Mus musculus: one gene and its partners. The protein of the gene in region 2 binds, or shares a complex with, the protein of the main gene of each other region. Links are inferred from orthologs where the notes say so. Each region holds a gene or a part of one and is shown on either strand. Other genes may lie near its edges. The genes, in order: Cfp, Cfb and Cfd.

Evidence for each region.
Region 1: the proteins of Cfb (region 2) and Cfp are in contact, whole or in part, in a crystal structure (PDB 7NOZ), measured with the Homo sapiens proteins. The link is inferred for Mus musculus from reciprocal best matches to the Homo sapiens genes CFB and CFP. Residues at the interface, in NP_001701.2 of Homo sapiens: Glu54, Gln56, Ser78, Thr316, Tyr317, Leu349, Ser351, Met394; in NP_001138724.1 of Homo sapiens: Arg329, Arg330, Asn331, Lys333, Pro341, Met420, Val421.
Region 3: the proteins of Cfb (region 2) and Cfd are in contact, whole or in part, in a crystal structure (PDB 2XWB), measured with the Homo sapiens proteins. The link is inferred for Mus musculus from reciprocal best matches to the Homo sapiens genes CFB and CFD. Residues at the interface, in NP_001701.2 of Homo sapiens: Glu298, Ala301, Ser302, Ala332, Asp333, Ile469, Asp470, Glu471, Ser472, Glu518, Tyr519, Lys585, Asp758, Glu759, Asp760; in NP_001919.2 of Homo sapiens: Asn157, His158, Ala159, Gly160, Arg161, Arg162, Arg182, Thr183, Asp186, Arg200, Val228, Cys229, Gly230, Asn231, Arg232, Lys233.

What each region holds. Positions count from the first base shown.
Region 1 is NC_000086.7:20,926,867-20,934,081, forward strand, and holds the start of Cfp (properdin precursor), read right to left. Parts: upstream 4,690-7,215; 5' UTR 4,589-4,689; coding exon 4,525-4,588; intron 4,437-4,524; coding exon 4,286-4,436; intron 2,906-4,285; coding exon 2,730-2,905; intron 1,948-2,729; coding exon 1,777-1,947; intron 1,654-1,776; coding exon 1,462-1,653; intron 1,261-1,461; coding exon 1,087-1,260; intron 858-1,086; coding exon 669-857; intron 527-668; coding exon 415-526; intron 1-414. UniProt on the Homo sapiens protein: A positive regulator of the alternate pathway (AP) of complement. It binds to and stabilizes the C3- and C5-convertase enzyme complexes. Inhibits CFI-CFH mediated degradation of Complement C3 beta chain (C3b).
Region 2 is NC_000083.6:34,854,130-34,860,720, reverse strand, and holds the end of Cfb (complement factor B isoform 1 precursor), read left to right. Parts: intron 1-95; coding exon 96-197; intron 198-298; coding exon 299-435; intron 436-646; coding exon 647-785; intron 786-1,147; coding exon 1,148-1,279; intron 1,280-1,389; coding exon 1,390-1,491; intron 1,492-1,574; coding exon 1,575-1,712; intron 1,713-2,125; coding exon 2,126-2,223; intron 2,224-2,566; coding exon 2,567-2,684; intron 2,685-2,899; coding exon 2,900-3,053; intron 3,054-3,088; exon of another isoform or gene 3,089-3,152; coding exon 3,153-3,229; intron 3,230-3,401; coding exon 3,402-3,502; intron 3,503-3,584; coding exon 3,585-3,717; intron 3,718-3,775; coding exon of another isoform or gene 3,776-3,791; coding exon 3,792-3,841; coding exon of another isoform or gene 3,842-3,845; intron 3,846-4,138; coding exon 4,139-4,294; 3' UTR 4,295-4,347; downstream 4,348-6,591. Other genes in the region: Nelfe (negative elongation factor E), read right to left, coding at 4,563-4,633, 5,923-6,025, 6,222-6,276, 6,356-6,500, 6,588-6,591.
Region 3 is NC_000076.6:79,888,614-79,895,118, forward strand, and holds Cfd (complement factor D isoform 1 preproprotein), read left to right. Parts: upstream 1-2,239; 5' UTR 2,240-2,312; coding exon 2,313-2,367; intron 2,368-2,842; coding exon 2,843-2,999; intron 3,000-3,089; coding exon 3,090-3,237; intron 3,238-3,378; coding exon 3,379-3,636; intron 3,637-3,811; coding exon 3,812-3,973; 3' UTR 3,974-4,042; downstream 4,043-6,505.

The DNA of each region.
Region 1 (7,215 bases), on a different chromosome or scaffold from region 2:
CTCATCTGGGTACCTTCTACCCATAGATCTGGGTTCTTTTTTAGAGACTGTTGCTAAAAAATGCCTTGGAGTACCTCAAGGTAGTGAAATGTGGAGTGGATAAATGGAGGCATGGATGACTGAGTAACTCAAAAGTACGCTAAGAGCTCAGTGAGAAGGCTGCATGAAGGACTATATGCATGGGAGTACAGCTATGTGACTGCATTAGAAACTGAGGCACACAGAGGCTGGGAAGTCTTCCCTAATTGCTCCTCCTCCTCTTTTCTTTCTCTCCTCTTCTCTAAGCTAGGAGATGGCACTGGCAAGGCAGGCACCTTTGATCCAGGGGTGAAGCTCCAGTTCAATGTAACCAATTCCCTTCTCATCCTTCAGCATCATGAGCCCCTCCTAGAAACACAATGTCCTTCAACTCACGGGTACTTGGGGAGCAAAGGTGTGCAGAGGCGCTGGCGGACACGGGTGGCGTTGGGACTACATGGTGGTGTGCACAGACTCCAGGTACTCCACTGTGACCATGAACCTTTCACTGCAATAGGAGGGGGTAATACAGTGTCACATAGTCAAAACTGGAGGTCTCAATGGAAAAAGGAGACCGCAAGGGCATTGGGTACCCAGCATAGCTACAGCATGGTTGCCCACCCTTACAGTGCTGCCTGTGGGTCACTCACTGATACAGTTATGGATGTTATAGCAGTGTCGAATATCCTGGAGTTTTCCAGCACATGGCTTCCCATTAAATTTGCGGCCGCCACAGCTCCTTGAACGTGACTGCTGGCCTGGGGTTCCTTCACAGTTGATGGACATTCTCAGCCGGCTGCAGTCACTCCATTTTCCCCAGGCCTCCCACTCCCCGTTTACTGTAGAGACAAGGAGCAAGAGGGTTTGGGGCCAGTAAAGGGCCTCAGGGGAAGGAATGAAGAAGGCTTTGAGAGGGAGTGGGAGTGAACAGATGTGGGGATGAAGGAGGAGAGGTGAACCAGGGTATGAAGGCAGGAACAAGGTTTTGGTAGCAAGTGGGCAGCAGTGATGGGCATAGGGCTTGGGCAGGGGGTTAGGCATGGGCATGGTGCCTTTTGACTTGCTAACCAGGGCAAGGTACGGCTTTGTTACACATTTGGTTCCGAGTGGCATCACCAGCACAAAAGGGGCCCCCATGACGGGGTGCAGGGTGATCACATGTCCGTTGCTCTAGGGTCTGGCCCAGGCCACAAGTCACAGAGCAGGGGCTCAAAGGGCTCCATGGCCCCCAGCCACCAGCCACTGTTGGAATGGAGAGAAAGTGACAATAAAGACCACCTTAATCATGCACTCTCCCCAGCTTCCCTCCCTATCACCTCTAGACATCTGAGGCAAACTCCTCAGATGATAGGCTTCTGATCACGTGGTACAAGAATTCCATTCATCTTTGCCAGAAATCTAAAGCCCCACTAGCTGCATGACGATGGCCTCATCCCTGCATACCTGGGCAAGGTGGTAGGCCACTGCAGGCCTTATGCTCATAGGCTGGTCCTGAGCAGGGTTTCCCAGGGGGCTGGTGTGAAGGTGCTGGTGCAGAACATGAGCGGCTTCGTGTCTCCTTAGGTTCTTGAGCACCACCAAGGCAGGATCCTGAGCAGGGGCTCCAGGGGCCCCAGGATGCCCAGGCCCCATGTGCTGTGGTAGAAATGGAAGGATGAACTGTAGTCAAGCAAGCATAAAAGTTTTTTTTTCTCCCTCACAGTTTCTTGCTGTAACCCAACATTATCCCTTCCATGTCCTGTGACTACTCTTACTCACTGGGGCAGGTCTTCTGGGTGTCACAGGCCTGTGATTGCTGGGCCTCTCCTGGGCAGTGGCCCCCACACTTAGGAGCAGGATTATCACATACTCGTTGACGGATCTGGGTTCCTTTGGAGCATGTGACAGAGCAAGGCCCCCAGGGTCCCCACTCAGACCAGCCACCCATCTCTGTGGGAGAAAAAGAGAAGAAGTGGGGGTGTGTGTGGCAACTTAGGATTCCTTTCTTTCCACAGGGTCCCCAATGAAGGAGCTAGAGAAAGGACCCAAGGAGCTGAAGGGGTCTGCATCCCCCTAGGAGGAACAACAATATGAACTAACCAGTACTCCCAGAGCTCCCTGGGACTAAATCACTAACCAAAGAGTACACATGGTAGGACTCGTGGCTCCAGCTGCATATGTAGCAGAGGATGGCCTAGTCGGTCATCAATAGGAGGAGAGGCCCTTGGTCCTGTGAATGTTCTATGCCCTGGTATAGGGGAATGCCAGGGCCAGGAAGAAGGAGTGGGTGGGTTGGTGAGCAGGGGGAGGGGAGGGGATAGGGGATTTTCGAAGGGAAAACGAGGAAAGGGGATTACATTTGAAATGTAAAGAAAACCTAATAAAAACCAAGGATCCCTTTCTTTCATGTGTGTCCCACATCATCTTAGCCTGTCCTATCTCTTGTCCCTATACCTGACCTAGCAGTACTGCTCATGTGGACTATAGCAGCAGCTTTCATACTCCAGATTTGGCCTGTCCTCTTCCCAAAGCAAGTCAAAGTAAATCTCTCCCCTTCCAATAATCCAAATCATTCAGCCTCAAGCCAATGTTTTTACTTTCGAACATCCTTCAGCGATCCTAGCCTCCTCCATTCTCCTTAAAGCCATACAAAGGTCTGTCCTCAGGACCTCTGCACTGATTCTTCTAGTGTTGTGGGCTGGTTCCATGTCCGCATTGTTGATCTTCCTTACCTGGACAGCATGGCTGGTCCTCACAGGCCTGTAGCTGCCACTCAAGAGTTCCAGGAGCCACATTCTCAGAGCACTGACCACCTCTGCCCACACAGCGCCTGTGTCGCAGCTGGGACCCCTCAGAACATGTAACTGAGCAGGGCCCCCATAAGGACCATGCTGACCATTGTGGAGACCTGTAGAGAGGAGCCGATGTTCTATCCTGGTATGAAGTGACAGGATAGATCACTGAGAGCCTACTTACCACTTAGGGATGGTGGGTGATTGAACAGGAAGAAGTGAATATACAGGAAATATCTAATAAATTTCATTTCCCTTCATTTTCCTCTGGAAACCCCCCAGGGTCATAGCCAGATGTACAATAAGCAAATTTACAGACTAAAAAACCAGAACTTCTGCCAGGAACTCAATAGGTCACTACCCTGTACAGTACCACACAGAGAGGAAGTCCTTACTAAACAGAAGCTCTGCGGTCCCTTCACAACATCCTAGAGAAACACATTGCTTCTGCACAGAACTGGGTTTGCATGATAATATGGGTATGCATGCCAGTGCTAAAGAGACATGAACTGTTAGCATGACTGGCAGCTCAGAGCTGCTTTCCAAGATCTTCAAGCCTATCATCTTTACAATGTTATCTGAAATACATAGTAAGCAGTCATAAACTATATCTACAGTATAGTAAGACTCAACATATGTAAACTGGAAGTCATGATTAGGAGCTTTGAAGTGCCTTCAGAGACCAAACTGCCACAAAAGAGTTGCACAATGAATGTGTCATCACAATTAAAGATTTGGCATTGTCCTCAGAATTTCCTTAAAGTCCTCCATTTCTATAATGGTTCTATATATAATAAGCACTCAATTATGATCTATTGTAAGTTAGGAGAATAGAGCTACCATAGAAAATATCCAAATTGCACCCCACCTGCAATGTTTACAGGAAGCCCTGACTTTTAAAGCATTTTAAAATTAGGGTTAATTTTGTCTCTCCTAAGGGACATTTGGCAGTATCTGGATTCAGCTTTTTTAAAAACTCTTCTCTCATACAAGACAGCCTAACTATAGTTTCCTTTCCCCTCGTTTCTTTCAGCCCCCACCTCCTACAACCTCCTCTCTTCCCCAGATCCTCCTCCTCCAGTTCCCCTTCAGAAAAAAATCAGGCCTTCCAGGAATATTAACCAAACGTGTCATAAGAAGATGCAATAAGACTAGGCACAAATTCTTATATCAAGGCTGGATGAGGCAACTCAGGAGGAGAAAAGGGGTCCTAAGCACAGATGAAAGAGTCAGAGACACCCCACACCCACTAATAATCAGTGCAGAGAGTTGTTAAAAACATTTAGGGGTAGGTCAGATATGTTATAAACTACCAAACAATGCACAGCTAAGAACTCATACCCTTAACAAAGAGCTCCAAATGGCAACAGTGCCAAGATTTTGAAACCCTGAGCTATGGTCATAAGGAGGGCTTGTGGAGGAGGTGGCACTCTTAGAAGCTCCAGGGCAACGAGTACAGTTCTAGGTTACAGGGTTCAGCCCAGGTTCCTCCAAACCTGCATGCCTGACAGAGGCCACCATCATGCTCCTGGAAGGCATAGGCAGCGTTGAGACAGCAGTCTTCTACCCTGATGTCTCTCCCAAGTAGGCCTTTGCACCTGCCAGAGGACTCCTCATACTGGGTGAAGCAGAGCACAGGGTCTGAGCCTGTAAGATCAGGGGAGAGGAATGGCAAATCAGGAGTGTGGTTGGCCTGGGCATCCCTTGGAGGACATGTGGGCGCTCATCCACTTACCTGTGGCTGGCAGGATAACCAGTAGCAGCAGGAGCCACTGAGGGGCTTGCATTTCAGCAGGCATTTTGAACACTATGTTTCTGCACTCCTCACAGAGAGGAGGCCTTGGTTTTGTCTGGACTGACCTGCTCCAGAAAGAGGAACCCAGGGCAGGAGGAACTGGGAGGGTATGGCCTCATTAACTGTGAAGTCTCCCTTGTGCACTCTGCCCCTCCTCTTTTCTCCCTTCTCCATTTCCTTGTAGCTGCTTTGTCACCCTTGATGCTGCTTTGTTAGTCAATCTTTACCACCTAATACCCCACCTTACCCAGAAATCACTTAGTTTTTCACTCAATGCTTAGGAGACAAATTCTCACTGAAGGGCACTGGGGTCTGAAAACAAGAACCACCTAGGCGTGTGAACGTTGGCAAGTCACTTTAAATTCTCAGCTTTAGTTTTCCTTTTTTTTTTTTTTTTTTTTGCAAGGTTTTACAACATAGCCATACCTGAAATTTGCTTTAAACACCAGGCTGGTCTTGAACAGGCAAGTAACACCATGGCTGGCTCATTTTCTTACCTGTAAAATGCATAATCTTGACTATGGTGACCAATTTCATGGGGGTACTGGAGAAGGGTGAGATGAGGGAAGGCCTCATTTGTGAAGAAGGCATCATGGCAGCTACTTTATCTACCATCTTGAAAACTTAGCCCTTTCCTAAAAGTGAGGTTCCTGTGGTCAGCATGTATGTGTGTGAGGTCAATGCAAGGGAAGTGAAAAAGGGAAGTGGCATTGTGTGGGAAGTGATTCAGAAGAGGGGATGTTCAGGCATACCCACTGCCCAAGGTGGGGGGAGGGGCTCAGTGGTATGCCATTTGCCTAGCATGTGAGCAGCTTTAGGTCTGTATGCAGTACAAATTTACAGCACTGGACACAGCTTAGATCTGTCACAGCCCGACAATGAAAATACTCAGAATAGTGCCTGGCTGTGTTTACTAAATTGGTTTGTTCAACAATTATTGAGCACCTACTGAGCATCAGTAGTTCTCAGCATTAAATGGAATAGAAAACAAGACAGGAAAAAAAATCACTGTCTCTAAAGGACTTAAACACTCTACAAAGGGAGACTAGCAATAAAAATCTTTCAGAAAGGTCTTCTCCTGTGACCCTTCTTGGATGTCATTACTCTCTAGCCTTAGGACACACAAGAATCACCCACAGGGCTTCTTGATCCAACTGCACATTGCTGGATCCTACCTATTTCTCATTCAGCAGGTGTAGTGTGGGCCTCCAGTTTTTCAGACACACATACTTCTCAGACACCATTTGGTTGTCAAGTTTCTCACAACTGCTGACTGTGAGTCCTTCTTTTCTCCTCAGCTCCTCAGTCTCACCAGAACCTATGGAAGCTGCAACTGTTTTGTTGTTTTAAGATTTACTTATTTTATTTATTTTATGTATATGGGTACACTGTGGCTGTACATGATTGTGAGCCATCCTGTGGTTGCTGGGAATGAAGGTTGCTTGCTTTGGTCGAGCCTGCTCGCTCCGGCCCTGTTCACTCTGGCCTAAAGATTTATTGTTATATCTAAGTACACTGTAGCTGTCTTCAGATGCACCAGAAGAAGGTGTCAGATCCCATTACAGATGGTTGAGTCACCATGTGTTTGCTGGGATTTGAACTCAGGACCTTCGAAAGAGCAGTCAGTGCTCTTAACCAGAGCCATCTCTCCAGCCCAAAGCTGAGACTTGTTAACCAGCTGCTACCCACTAGTAGCGGGTAACATTTTCAGTCTCTCTCCTACACACACACACACACACACACACACACACACACACACACACACACCAGCCTTTTAGACTTTAGCAGCCACAACCAATCCATTTCTCCATCTTTCCTATGGTTTCTATGAAACATTTTAGTTTCACACCTATGTCTTATCAGTCACTTGGGCCTCATGATCATTTTCTTTCACACAATCAGTAACTTCTTGTTCTTCCTCCTTCATTTCCCTCTTCTTTTTTTGAGACAGGGTTTCTCTGTGTAGCCCTGGCTGTCCTGGAACTTGCTCTGTAGACCAGGCTGACCTTGAACTCTGAGACCTACTTGCTTCTCCTTCCCCAGTGCTGGGATTAAAGACGTGTGCCTCTACCACCTGGCTCACACAATCAGCTTCTTAAACATATACCTCCATGACTTAATTTCACACACAAACCATTTCTCAAAACCATTTCTCTACTAACAGTGTGACTTTTCATCTACAAATGGTTGGGACTGGAGAAATGGCCCAGTCAATAAAACACTTGCTTTGCACAACCCTGTGAATAAAGGAGTCAACGTGGTAAAAGGTGACCGTTTGATCCCTACAATACAGGTAAAAATTCCAGGCATAGAAGTACATGCTTGTAATCCCAAGGTAGAACCAGGTAGATCCTTGAGACTTGATGGCCAGCAAGTGTATCCCAACTGGTAAGTTTAGGCAAAGATGAGACCCTGTCTCAAAGGAGGGGACAGTGTTCCAGTAGACAACACACCACACATAAGACCATGCATACACATGTACAAAAATGTTTGCGGTCACACTTCTGACCTGCGACACACATATTTAAAATCTTTCGGTTTCTCTCATCACACTGGTTACCAATCAGCAGTCTGTATCAGTCTCTGACATATGCCATCATTTTGCCTCTCTCACAGTCAATCTTTGCCTCG
Region 2 (6,591 bases):
GCTCAACACTAAGAGTCTCTCGTTCTGAAATCCTATCACCCTGTCAGCGTGTCCTCAGTACTCCATCATCTGACCTACTCTCTGACCATCCCTAGATTCCTTCATGTATGACAGCCCTCAAGAAGTGGCCGAAGCATTCCTATCCTCCCTGACAGAGACCATCGAAGGAGCCGATGCTGAGGATGGGCACAGCCCAGGTTAGAATACAAGGAGGGAGACTGAGCAGGAAGCCCAGGGAAGGATGGGTGGTCTGTCAGGTACTGTACATATCAGAAGCTGAGTCTCTGCTGGCACCTAGGAGAACAGCAGAAGAGGAAGATTGTCCTAGACCCCTCGGGCTCCATGAATATCTACCTGGTGCTAGATGGATCAGACAGCATCGGAAGCAGCAACTTCACAGGGGCTAAGCGGTGCCTCACCAACTTGATTGAGAAGGTAGATCAGAGTTCCCCTCCCTTTGAAATGAGGGGACCTTATCTGGACCCCACTGCCCTTACAAGACTGGTTTCCTGTGTCCCCAGATCCTTTGGGTCCAGGTCCTGCTGTCCTCCAGCCTCTTCCCTGTCTCAACAGGAGTGTTGACTACCCACCACACTGGTTTTTGTTTTTGTTTTTTTAAACACAATGGCCTCTTGCTCATGAACAGGTGGCGAGTTACGGGGTGAGGCCACGATATGGTCTCCTGACATATGCTACAGTCCCCAAAGTGTTGGTCAGAGTGTCTGATGAGAGGAGTAGCGATGCCGACTGGGTCACAGAGAAGCTCAACCAAATCAGTTATGAAGGTCAGAGATCAGGGAAGGGAAAGCCGGGAGGTGCACCTTGGGGCTGTGGTAGTCAGAAGCTTGGGGTTCTTCGGGAGAAAGCAGACAAGACTACTATTGGTTAAAGGTTGAAGAAAAGTCTCCTTGGGCAATGGAGAATGCTGGAAGAGTCAAGGGCAAGTGGGTGATAACAAAAGTTAAACAATGTCTGGACTTGGTGGCACAAGCCTTTAATCCCAACATCCAAAAAGCAGGTGAATCTCTGAGTTCAAGGCCAGCATGGTCTATAGAGTAAAAGTTGAAGAATGTGGGATCTCAGTTGTCACAGACTTCTGAGGTGCAAATGTGGCTTGAAGATAAGGTTGGTGACCTTTTGTCTATAGACCACAAGCTGAAGTCAGGGACCAACACCAAGAGGGCTCTCCAGGCTGTGTATAGCATGATGAGCTGGGCAGGGGATGCCCCGCCTGAAGGCTGGAATAGAACCCGCCATGTCATCATCATTATGACTGATGGTAAGGCCTTTCTCCTACACCACCATCCTCCCATCTCCTGAGCATGTGTTTGTGTCTCCAGACAGTGTATCTTCTCTGTCCCACTTTTATGATCCTCATGTTTCCCACAGGCTTGCACAACATGGGTGGAAACCCTGTCACTGTCATTCAGGACATCCGAGCCTTGCTGGACATCGGCAGGGATCCCAAAAATCCCAGGGAGGATTACCTGGGTGAGTGGCCCATTTGGGATCCTGCACTCTCAAACCCTCACCCCTCAGGGCCTGGACTCTCACCCTCTCCTTCTCTCCTTCAGATGTGTATGTGTTTGGGGTCGGGCCTCTGGTGGACTCCGTGAACATCAATGCCTTAGCTTCCAAAAAGGACAATGAGCATCATGTGTTTAAAGTCAAGGATATGGAAGACCTGGAGAATGTTTTCTACCAAATGATTGGTAGGAAGACTCAAGGGTGTACAAGGGGAAGCTGCAGACTGAGGTTGCCAACGTCTCCCACCCCAAAGCCATCAAAACCTGGAAGGCTCGCTCTCTGGCCCCGTCATGCCTCCCCCACGTCTATTCTTACTTCCTGATTTCTCACACTCACAGAACTCTAATAGCTTGTTTTACAGATGTAGAAACAGGCTGAGCACAGCAAGTCAGCACCAAGACTGTGGCTAAGATGCTCAGTCCTCAGATCTCCTGGTCAATCTTTTCTTACTACACCATGGGGTTCCTCATCTAACACACAGAACCCTCTCCCTGCTTGCTCCCCTTTCCCCTTCTGGGCCTCTGCTGCCAACAGACACACAGGGACCCAACAAAGTTGACTACAATGACCTGAGCCTTCAGTATTCTTTCCCTGACAGATGAAACCAAATCTCTGAGTCTCTGTGGCATGGTGTGGGAGCATAAAAAAGGCAACGATTATCATAAGCAACCATGGCAAGCCAAGATCTCAGTCACTGTAAGCATTCGTGCAGTGGGTACTTGTGGGAGGGAAAGGAAGGAAGGGCAGAGGGAAGAGGAGGGGAAATGTCTACACTAGCTGTAATCCTGGCTTTCAGGAAGCCGAGGTAGGGTAGAGATTCATGGCCTGCTTGGGCTACAGTGAGTTCAAGGTCAATACAATAACTTATCAAACTGCCTGAAAAAGGGGAAGGATGCTGGGCATGGAGCACATACATGCTGGTGCCCTGGCATTTGGAAGTGAGAGCAGGGTTGCCTTGTGTCTGAGGTCAGTCTGGGCTAGTACAGAGCAGCCTCCAGCAGTACACATACACCAAGGTTAATCTGCATTGGCTTCCTAGCGCCCTCTGAAAGGACATGAGACCTGTATGGGGGCCGTGGTGTCTGAGTACTTCGTGCTGACAGCAGCGCACTGCTTCATGGTGGATGATCAGAAACATTCCATCAAGGTCAGCGTGGGTAAGGATGCAGTCAAGACTCTGACCTCCAGGCCCATCTATCTTCAGGAAACACTGACATGTTATGACCTGTAGCCCACCTGTTCTCAGCACAGCCCCCCCCGACCCCCTTAACACTGACTAGTTAAGGATGGGGAAACAGAACCCCAAAGATGAGATGGGGCCAGAGGCAGGAGGCTGCTTCCATAAACATGGTGCCCATTCTTCTCTTCTCAGGGGGTCAGAGGCGGGACCTGGAGATTGAAGAGGTCCTGTTCCACCCCAAATACAATATTAATGGGAAAAAGGCAGAAGGGATCCCTGAGTTCTATGATTATGATGTGGCCCTAGTCAAGCTCAAGAACAAGCTCAAGTATGGCCAGACTCTCAGGTGAGTGAGGCTGGGGCTCAGAGATGCTATGAAAGGTTGGGCTGGAGGCACAGGGCAGAACAGGTTGTCTGTGGCTCCTTACTGTACCTGTCTCCATAGGCCCATCTGTCTCCCCTGCACGGAGGGAACCACACGAGCCTTGAGGCTTCCTCAGACAGCCACCTGCAAGCAGCACAGTAAGGCATAGTCTGGGATAAGACAAGGATGAGATTTGCAAGACAAAGGGGTCGAAAGAGGGAGTTGAAAGTGTTAAACTGCTTAGTTCAAGGCCTGGCTCCTATGGGCCCAAGGGACATCTGCTGGGTGAGAAGTAAGGGTTCAGCTGGCATGACCCCATTACTTTTCCAGAGGAACAGTTGCTCCCTGTGAAGGATGTCAAAGCTCTGTTTGTATCTGAGCAAGGGAAGAGCCTGACTCGGAAGGAGGTGTACATCAAGAATGGGGACAAGGTGAGAAGAGGATTCTGGAGAGGGTCACATAGGTCTCATTCCTCCCTTAGCTAGCTAGCTTTTTCACCTTTGTTGCCTACAGAAAGCCAGTTGTGAGAGAGATGCTACAAAGGCCCAAGGCTATGAGAAGGTCAAAGATGCCTCTGAGGTGGTCACTCCACGGTTCCTCTGCACAGGAGGGGTGGATCCCTATGCTGACCCCAACACATGCAAAGGTGAGGTGGCTCTCTGGCTATGCTGCAAGTCCACAGGCCCAGCATCTTTCCCCTACAGCTTCTCTCTTCTACAGGAGATTCCGGGGGCCCTCTCATTGTTCACAAGAGAAGCCGCTTCATTCAAGTGAGTGGTCCCCTCTCTAGTCCCTTAGGGAGATGCCCAGGAGTCACAAAAAGAAAGCCTGCTGTACATGGCTGGAAAAGGGGGCTGGAAAAGGGGGCTGGAAAAGGGGGCAGAACAGGGCCCACCTCATCTGACAGCTATGTTCTTAACTGGTCAGTGAATGCCAAGTGTCTGGCTTATGTGCACCACAGAAGACAGGGGGAGCTAGGCTCCCAGTGCACTTCTTTAGGCCAGCTTGGAAGCTTTCTGGGATTATTAGTGTGTCAAGTGACCCATGGCATACCCTTATCTACACAGGTTGGTGTGATTAGCTGGGGAGTAGTAGATGTCTGCAGAGACCAGAGGCGGCAACAGCTGGTACCCTCTTATGCCCGGGACTTCCACATCAACCTCTTCCAGGTGCTGCCCTGGCTAAAGGACAAGCTCAAAGATGAGGATTTGGGTTTTCTATAAAGAGCTTCCTGCAGGGAGAGTGTGAGGACAGATTAAAGCAGTTACAATAACAAGTGTGTTCCACATCTTTTTGGGGTAAGGGCGTGCACTGGTTAACATCAACACTGACAGCCGCTTTTGAAGGCTTAACTCCAATCCCAAGTGCTGAAAGACTAGAGGCTGACGGAGGTGAAAAGCTTCTACCCCAGGATTTTACTGAGACCAGCTTGGGGGCATATGAGGCACAAGGAATCCAGCTTCATGTCCTAGAAGCCATCCACAAGGTTTCCTATAGATCGTCACTGTACACAATCTGGGTCCTCTTGTCTCGATGGCAACCCTTAGGGCTGTTCTGGACAGCTAAGGAGGGAGGAAAGTGACAGTTAAGTGAAGCACCAGTGGCGTTAGACCTGGGGTCCAGAGCCCTGGCCCTGGTCCACCAGGGCTTACTCTGCCCTCTGGTGGCCATAACCTCACTGTGGCTTAGAAAATCCAGAATGTTAACACAGTTAGAGATGTGACTATGATAACATCACAAATACATGGAAATTAAAAGATCAGAATGTTTCTGTACCTTGCTGGTACACTGGTCAATTCTGGTTCCTTCCTAGTGTGTGCAAGGACTTTGCTTACTCCTTCCTCAGAAAAGTTTGTTTTGGGTAGAATGGGCTGTCCACACTGAGAGACCCCATGAGGACCTCTCCGAACTCAAGTGTTCAGCTTTTCTTTCCTCATACTGCTCATCCCTCCCAAGGATTCCCTGTGGGGCTAAGAGACAGGCCTCCTCTTTGGTCTTATACTCTTTTCAGAGCCTCTCAGCCCACAGCCCAGAGCTTCTGGGGTTGTTCTTAGCTTGGACTCTTCTTCATGGCTCCTTTGCTGCAGACTTAACTTGGGCCTAGCAAGCCAGGACTGCTGGAGGTATGCTAGGCACAGACAGTAGAGCCTAGCTTCCTAATGCTCTTGATTCTCTAAACCAGTCTCAGGTCACTTTTCAATCTCCAAAATCCCCACCTCTGATGGTTCCAGATACACAGAACACTAATCTATGTTTCCATGCCTGGTCTTCTACTTGAGGTCCAGACCCACAATACCAAGTTCAGGTAACACTCCAGCTCAGAGGCGACAACTAGGCTTCTGCTTTCCTGTCTGTGACAGAGGACCCTGTTCTGTTTTTCCAAATGGCTTTTCTTTTCTTTCTTTTTTTTTTTTTGGTTTTCTGAGACAGGGTTTCTCTGTGTAGTCTTGGCTGTCCTGGAACTCACTCTGTAGACCAAGCTGGCCTTGAACTCAGAAATCCACCTTCCTCTGCCTCCCAAGTGCTGGGATTAAAGGTGTGTGCCACCACTGCCCTGCCCAAATGGCTTTTCAAGACAAGATTTCTCTGTGTAGCCCTGGCTGTTCTGAACTCTGCTCTGTAGACCAGGCTGGCCTTGAACTCACCTGGCTCCACCTCCCACGTGTTGTGGCTGAAGGTGTGTGCCACCACTGAGAGGGCACATTTCAGTGCTGCTCTCCTTCCCTCACCTGACAGATGCCCTGGCAATTCTTCATCCACTACCTACGTGAAGATCCTGACCTTGGGCACTTTAGGGAACTCAAGGAAGTGCTATGCTGCAGAGAGGGGAAGGGAGGAGCCTCATCCTTACCAAGGGAGCCCCAGACAGATTTGCCAGTAGCAGCGTCCAGCATGGGCTGTTTTCGGGCTATGTTGACTTTAAGCTGCACAGATTCCACCTGGGTCCCATTGAGCTGTGGGACAAGAGGGGAGGGGACAGAGGACGGGCATTACATGGAGCCAGGTGCTGCTGCCCTGGGAGACCAACCAGGAATGTGAGGATGAAGGTTTTCTCAGTCAGGAGAAAAGTTTCCTCTAGAAGCAGATATTGAAAAGAAGAAGCAGGAGGATGACAGGAGGGATGGGAGGAACGGTCTGAGAAGTCCCAACCTCAGCAACAGCCTGATCTGCAGACTCCATCTTCTCGTAGGTGACGAAGGCACAGCTGGGTGAGAGAGAAAGCAGAGTCAGGAAACTCCATGGAGACCAGGCAGCTCCCTCCCCGGGATGTTGCTCATGCTTACTTTCTGGGTGGGTCCATGGAGAGGTCGATGATATTTCCAAAGGGAGAGAAGGCCCCGCGGAGGAGGGTGGGCGTCATGTCCTCTCCATACACATACAGTGTGTTCCCCTTTCGAGGGGCCCTCCGTTCGGGGAATGAGTCTGACCCTGTGGGTTAGGAACCACAGTCATTACTGGGTCCACCTCACCTTCTACTTAGCAGGACCCACCTAAACCCTGGCTAAGATCACTCACTGCG
Region 3 (6,505 bases), on a different chromosome or scaffold from region 2:
TGTGGGCACCAGGCACATATATACACCTTCTACACATAATTAAGAAAAGTGAGCTTTTCTGCGCTCTCGCTGGACCAGTGAGCAGGGACGGCCTCAGGATGCAGAACGACGCCGGCGAGTTTGTGGACCTGTCCGTGCCTCGGAAATGCTCCGCATGCAACCTCATCATTGCTGCCAAGGACCACGCGTCCATCCAGATGAACGTGGCCGAGGTTGATAGGACCACAGGCCGGTTTAATGGCCAGTTTAAAACTTACGGCATCTGCGGGGGGTCATTTGCAGGATGGGCGAGTCAGATGATTCTATTCTCTGATTGGCTAAGGCTGATAGAATTGTCTCAAAGAACTTTTGAGCAGAAGAAATCGGGAATTTGTTACAAATAAAAGTTTTAAGTACCTGTGGGGGGGGGGGAAGAAAAGTGAAGATAACCTGATAAATAAGCTAGGACTGGTGAAGTGGCTTACCAGGTGAGCATGCTAGCCATGAAGGTGAAGGAGACAATGGATTTCAGCGAGCCCTCTGCACACTTACCCACACAGTACATAAATAAAATAAATACAGCATATAGATAAATAATAAAAATAATAAATAATAAAATAGCCAAGCAGTGGTGATGCACACCTTTAATCCCAGCACTTGGGAGGCAGAGGCAGGCAGATCTCTGAGTTCGAGGCCAGCCTGGCCTACAAAGTGAGTTCCATGACAGCCAGGGCTACACAGAGAAACCCTGTCTCAAACAAACGTGATGATGATGATGGTGATGATATCCACTTTCCTGTTACATTGGAGTGGTAGACACCATAGCTCTGTCCCAGGTGCTCCCTAAATGGCTTCTTTTACCCACCCTACCTTTCCCCACCCTCTCCCACCCCTCCCAGGACAGGGCTCCAAGTCTGTGGAAGTTCGGAGTTGTTTACTGAAGTGTCCCAAGCTGCATGACCCTGGGTGGCTGCCAAATTTTGTTATAATTTATTAGGTTCCTGTTTTCACAATCTGGTTCTGCGCTAAAGGGCTTCTGATTCTGTTTTGTTTTGTTTGAGTCAACAGCCATGGTTTTCTTGGAACTCACTATGTGACCCAGGCTCTGCTCTTCTCAAACTTACAGAGCTGCTGCTGCTTCTTCTTCTTCTTCTTCTTCTTCTTCTTCTTCTTCTTCTTCTTCTTCTTCTTCTTCTTCTTCTTCTTCTTCTTCTTCTTCTTCCTCCTCCTCCTCCTCCTCCTCCTCCTCCTCCTCCTCCTCCTCCTCCTCCTCCTCCTTCTTGATGTTTTTTTGAGACAAGGTTTCTCTGTGTAGCCCTGGCTGTCCTGGAGTTCACTATGTAGACCAGGCTGGCCTAGAGAACTCAGAGATCCGCCTGCCTCTGCCTCCCAAGTGCTAGGATTAAAGGCGTGTGCCACCATTGCCCGGCCACAGAGATTCTTCTGTCTTCACCTCCTGAGTGCTGGGGTTGAAAGTGTGCCACCCAGGTGGCTTCTGATTATAATGACAGTCCTGGGGCTCAAGATGTCCTGTGGACAACACATCTACAACATCATGTCACCTCTAAAGACAGGGAATGGCTGAGCTGAGCCCCCAAGCTCCCATCCTTCTTGCCCCAATCTCTCCCCTCTAGAACCCACCCTCAGGATTATTTTTTGTGAAGAGCTTGCGACCTGGGCTCAGCCAAACAAGACTTTGATTGGCATGAGGGTCTGATTTTATAGTCAAGGTCCCCATAACCACAATAGGGAAGAGCCTGGTGAGGACAGAGGCTGCGCCTGGATCAAGCCAAACCTGAAGGCAGAATTCACAGGAAATGAAACCTCATGGCAACACTCTGCTTGCTGAGGTGTGAGACCCCACAGACACAGGAATGAGGACAAAGGAGTTAAGTGCCCTTCCCCCACTGTCAAGCAACCTTCTCTCCAAATTGAAGGCAGAAAGAGGAGGGAGAGATGATGGGGTGGAGGGTGTTACTAACCGACCTCCTGCTGCTCTGGTTTTAACAGACACCATGACAGACACATGGCTGGAAGGATACTCACTGGGCCAGGACAACAGGTGGTCCATCCTCTGCTCTCGTTGTGCCTTGTGTATGCCTACCTTGAGAGTGGGCACTGGTCAGGGTGCCATGCAGGAGGGAGAGGAGGGTTTGCCCTGCCCCCTGCACCTCACAGGTTCACATCATCTGTCCCAGAAGGGCTGACACACCGAAAGTGCAGACTCCCCTTCCCTAGTTGGTTTTCTGCCCACCAGGCAAGGGGCAGGAGGTAAGAGGCAGGAGTCCATAAAACAGCCCTGAGAGCCTGCTGGGTCAGTGCCTGCTGTCAGAATGCACAGCTCCGTGTACTTCGTGGCTCTGGTGATCCTGGGAGCGGCTGTATGTGGTGAGTGGACCAGGGAGGGACCAGTTTGACACAGCAGCCCCCTTGGTGGGCCAGCACAGCAGGAGTCCCCTGCAGTGAAACACTCTCCAAATTACTAATCTGTAATCTGAGCCTTCTGGTTTCAGAGCTTTTATCAACAGCAAGAATCTGGATTTGAAATCTGTATACTTTACAGAATTAAAGAACTAAAATTCACCTTAGGGCTAGCGAGAAGGGTCAGCTGGTTAAAGGGCCTGAACACCCATTTGATGAAGAAAGTGATCGCTACAAGTTGTCTTCAGCCTACTGCAGGTTCACTGTGGTCTTGAGGGGTGTAAACCACCCACAGGCCCCTGAATTTGCAGCCCCTCGGAAATGCACTTTACTGAGATCGCTTTTGGGTCTGGGGCAACTGGGTTGGAGGTGTCTGTGGTCAGAGTGGGTTCTCTTTAGGTGCAACCCACCCCAACCCTTACAATACACCTACCCTCCTCAGCAGCACAGCCCCGAGGCCGGATTCTGGGTGGCCAGGAGGCCGCAGCCCATGCTCGGCCCTACATGGCTTCCGTGCAAGTGAACGGCACACACGTGTGCGGTGGCACCCTGCTGGACGAGCAGTGGGTGCTCAGTGCTGCACACTGCATGGATGGAGTGTGAGTGGCAGGGGTGGGATGGGGGTGGGAGGAGCGGGGCCTCGGGAGGCTGGGACGTGGATCTGAGATGCGCCCTTGTCCTGTCCCCAGGACGGATGACGACTCTGTGCAGGTGCTCCTGGGTGCCCACTCCCTGTCCGCCCCTGAACCCTACAAGCGATGGTATGATGTGCAGAGTGTAGTGCCTCACCCGGGCAGCCGACCTGACAGCCTTGAGGACGACCTCATTCTTTTTAAGGTGAGAGAGCTGGATCCTTTGTACTCAAGAGTCTAGCCTCGACCCTACCTTCTGCACCAGAATCCCTGTCCGCCACCCCAGCTTCAGATCTCTTTTCTTGACTCTGCCCCTACTCAGACATTCTGCCCCTCCCACCCTTAGCTATCCCAGAATGCCTCGTTGGGTCCCCACGTGAGACCCCTACCCTTGCAATACGAGGACAAAGAAGTGGAACCCGGCACGCTCTGCGACGTGGCTGGTTGGGGTGTGGTCACCCATGCAGGACGCAGGCCTGATGTCCTGCATCAACTCAGAGTGTCAATCATGAACCGGACAACCTGCAATCTGCGCACGTACCATGACGGGGTAGTCACCATTAACATGATGTGTGCAGAGAGCAACCGCAGGGACACTTGCAGGGTGAGGGACACAGTCTGGGTGATGTGGTGTGGGTGGGTGGAGTTGAGGGGCTGTGGAGGCTAGCTAGGGGGCCTGGCTTGTGGGAAGGGTGGGGTTCAGGAATCTCAGGAGCTTCTGGGAGTCAGTTTCTTGCTGGCTATTGGGTGGGCATGTCACTAGTGGCCCTGCCCTACAGGGAGACTCCGGCAGCCCTCTAGTGTGCGGGGATGCAGTCGAAGGTGTGGTTACGTGGGGCTCTCGCGTCTGTGGCAATGGCAAAAAGCCGGGCGTCTATACCCGAGTGTCATCCTACCGGATGTGGATCGAAAACATCACAAATGGTAACATGACATCCTGAGGGGACACCAGAGACACGTGGCTCAGGGAAACAAGAGACACGTGGCTCACAATAAATGCATGCATCTGAGCCCTGTGCATCTTTCTTTTTTTTTTTTTTAAGATTTATTTATTGTTATATGTATCTACACTATAGCTGTCTTCAGACACACCAGAAGAGGGAGTCAGATCTTATTACAGATGGTTGTGAGCCACCATGTGGTTGCTGGGATTTGAACTCAGGGCCTTCGGAAGAGCAGTCAGTGCTCTTAACCACTGAGCCATCTCACCAGCCCGCCCTGTGCATCTTTATTGAGTGCCTGTTGCATACACACCTGAAGGCGGGTGTTTTCACGCTTGGCCACACGGGGGCGCGCGTGCTGTTTTAGAATTGTGAGGCGGGGCTCATTCCTATCCTACTGAGGTCCTGCTGTACCCAGGACTGTTGTCTGGGCTCAGACAGCTCTTACTTTGAGCCTTACCACATAAATACTAAAAGGGAAAACTGAGGCACAGAGCGGCCATGAACAAGACTGGATTCCAACCCAGAGCCCTTCCTGGTTTACTGAAGAGGGAGTTGGTAATGTCTTTGTCACAGGCTGGAACCCTGTGGGTGACAATGGGCAGAACCTGGACCCAAACCCTGTGTCTTTCTACCAGGAGAACAGGACACTGAGGCAAAGGGAGTCTTCTGGCTTCCTGTAGGTATTGGAGACTAAGGATCTTAGAGGTGAAACCACTGAGGACCCTGCTGTGAAAGAGGATAGAACTGGATCCTGGGTCTAAACTTTGTCTCTGCTAGGCAGGTTCAGCTTGGAGTCATCTTTATGAACAAGCTGCCACCAGGCTCATGGAGAGGGATAGCCACAGACACAGGCCAGGCCCAGCTCTACTCCCTCGGGAGGCTAGTGCTTAGCACCACTTGTCCCACAATCCCAGAGTGCTCCGCACCTAAACAGAGGAGCCTGGGACGCCACTCAGCTGCGTCTAGCACGTCCCCTAGATGGCTTGATATGCATGTCTATGCACGGCCAGCACTCTGCAGAGAGTGGACCGGAGCAGTCTTCCAGGACTGCCACCCTGGTGGCCATGTTTCCGGCTATGGGAGGTCAGGAAGTCGAGCTTGTGCATGGCCAGGATGCTGCACCACCATGCTGCTGGCTTCTGTTGGCAGAGGAGGTGCTCTAGGGGCAGCAGTGGGCAGGGCAAAGGGAAGTCACAAAACTCTGAAGGGGTATACCAGTTCCCAGGCACAACATGCCTGCCTCTTCCAGCACTGAGGAGAAGGTAGTTCAAAGCTGGGATGCTCACCTGGGACTGTTACCCTGTCTGACTGTAGCTCCCTCACACTGCGGTGGAGTACATCGATAATTCTGGGTTTTGGTTTTTGCTTTAATCTCGGGTGTGAGATGTGGGGCTACTTTAGACTGTCCACAGCAGCTGACTATGATTTGCCTCGTGATCTAGGAGAGGCGTGGTTTTGCCAGCTGCAGCTAGTTTCTCCAACTGTGTGACATTTGCAATTCTGGGGATTTTTAAGAGGATATATATATGCTAGGGTTGTTGTTGTTGATAGTGGATTGGTGGTTGGTTGCTGTTTGTTAAGCAGTCCTGTGCAAAGAAGTTAGATATCCTGCTGGTGACATCAAACTTGCCCCAAGGACCGCAATGCTCCTCATCAGTGGGAGGCAGTCTGAACGTGATGTCACCCCTTATCCCCATTAGTGTCAGGGGGCTGAAGGGGTAGAAGAAAGAAGAACCCACAAAGTAGCCAAGCAGAGTGGAGCATCCTCCGGGGCACCGGCTCAGGCAGGCCCTCCCCAGAGCTGGGTCATCGTGGCCATTGCCCTGTACTCAGCTCCACAGGGCTCCAGGGAGAAAACACCAGTTACCAAGAGCAAAGAGGCTGCGGCCTGGCCACCCGAGGCTGCAGGGGGCAGGTGTGGTATGGATGCTAGAAAGCAGAACCTCTGGGGACTACAGCAAAGGCCACAAAAACCAGGAGATGAGGCAGCTGGGGAGGGGAAAGTCTGTTGTGACACAAGTGGGGCCAGCAGTCACTCAGTTTCCAAATGTGTGGGTACCTCAGCACGGAGCCTCACCTAGTGGGCAGAGTGGTGGGGACCACGGTGACAGCCAAAGCCTAGTGCATCAGAGAACTTTATTGGGCCAGTCTTCCCCTCCCACCGGCACCCAAAGAAAACTGAGGCAGACGACCCCAAGCAGGACAAGAAAACTGAGGCAGACGACCCCAAGCAGGACAAGAAAACTGAGGCAGACGACCCCAAGCAGGACAAGAAAACTGAGGCAGACGACCCCAAGCAGGACAAGGGGCTTTATGTACTGTGAATCTTTTTTTTTTTTTGTTTTGTTTTTTCGAGACAGGGTTTCTCTGTGTAGCCCTGGCTGTCCTGGAACTCACTTTGTAGACCAGGCTGGCCTCGAACTCAGAAATCCACCTGCCTCTGCCTCCCGAGTGCTGGGATTAAAGGCGTGCGCCACCACGCCCGGCCACTGTGGATCTTTTAAAGGATGAATACACAGCCCAGCTCCT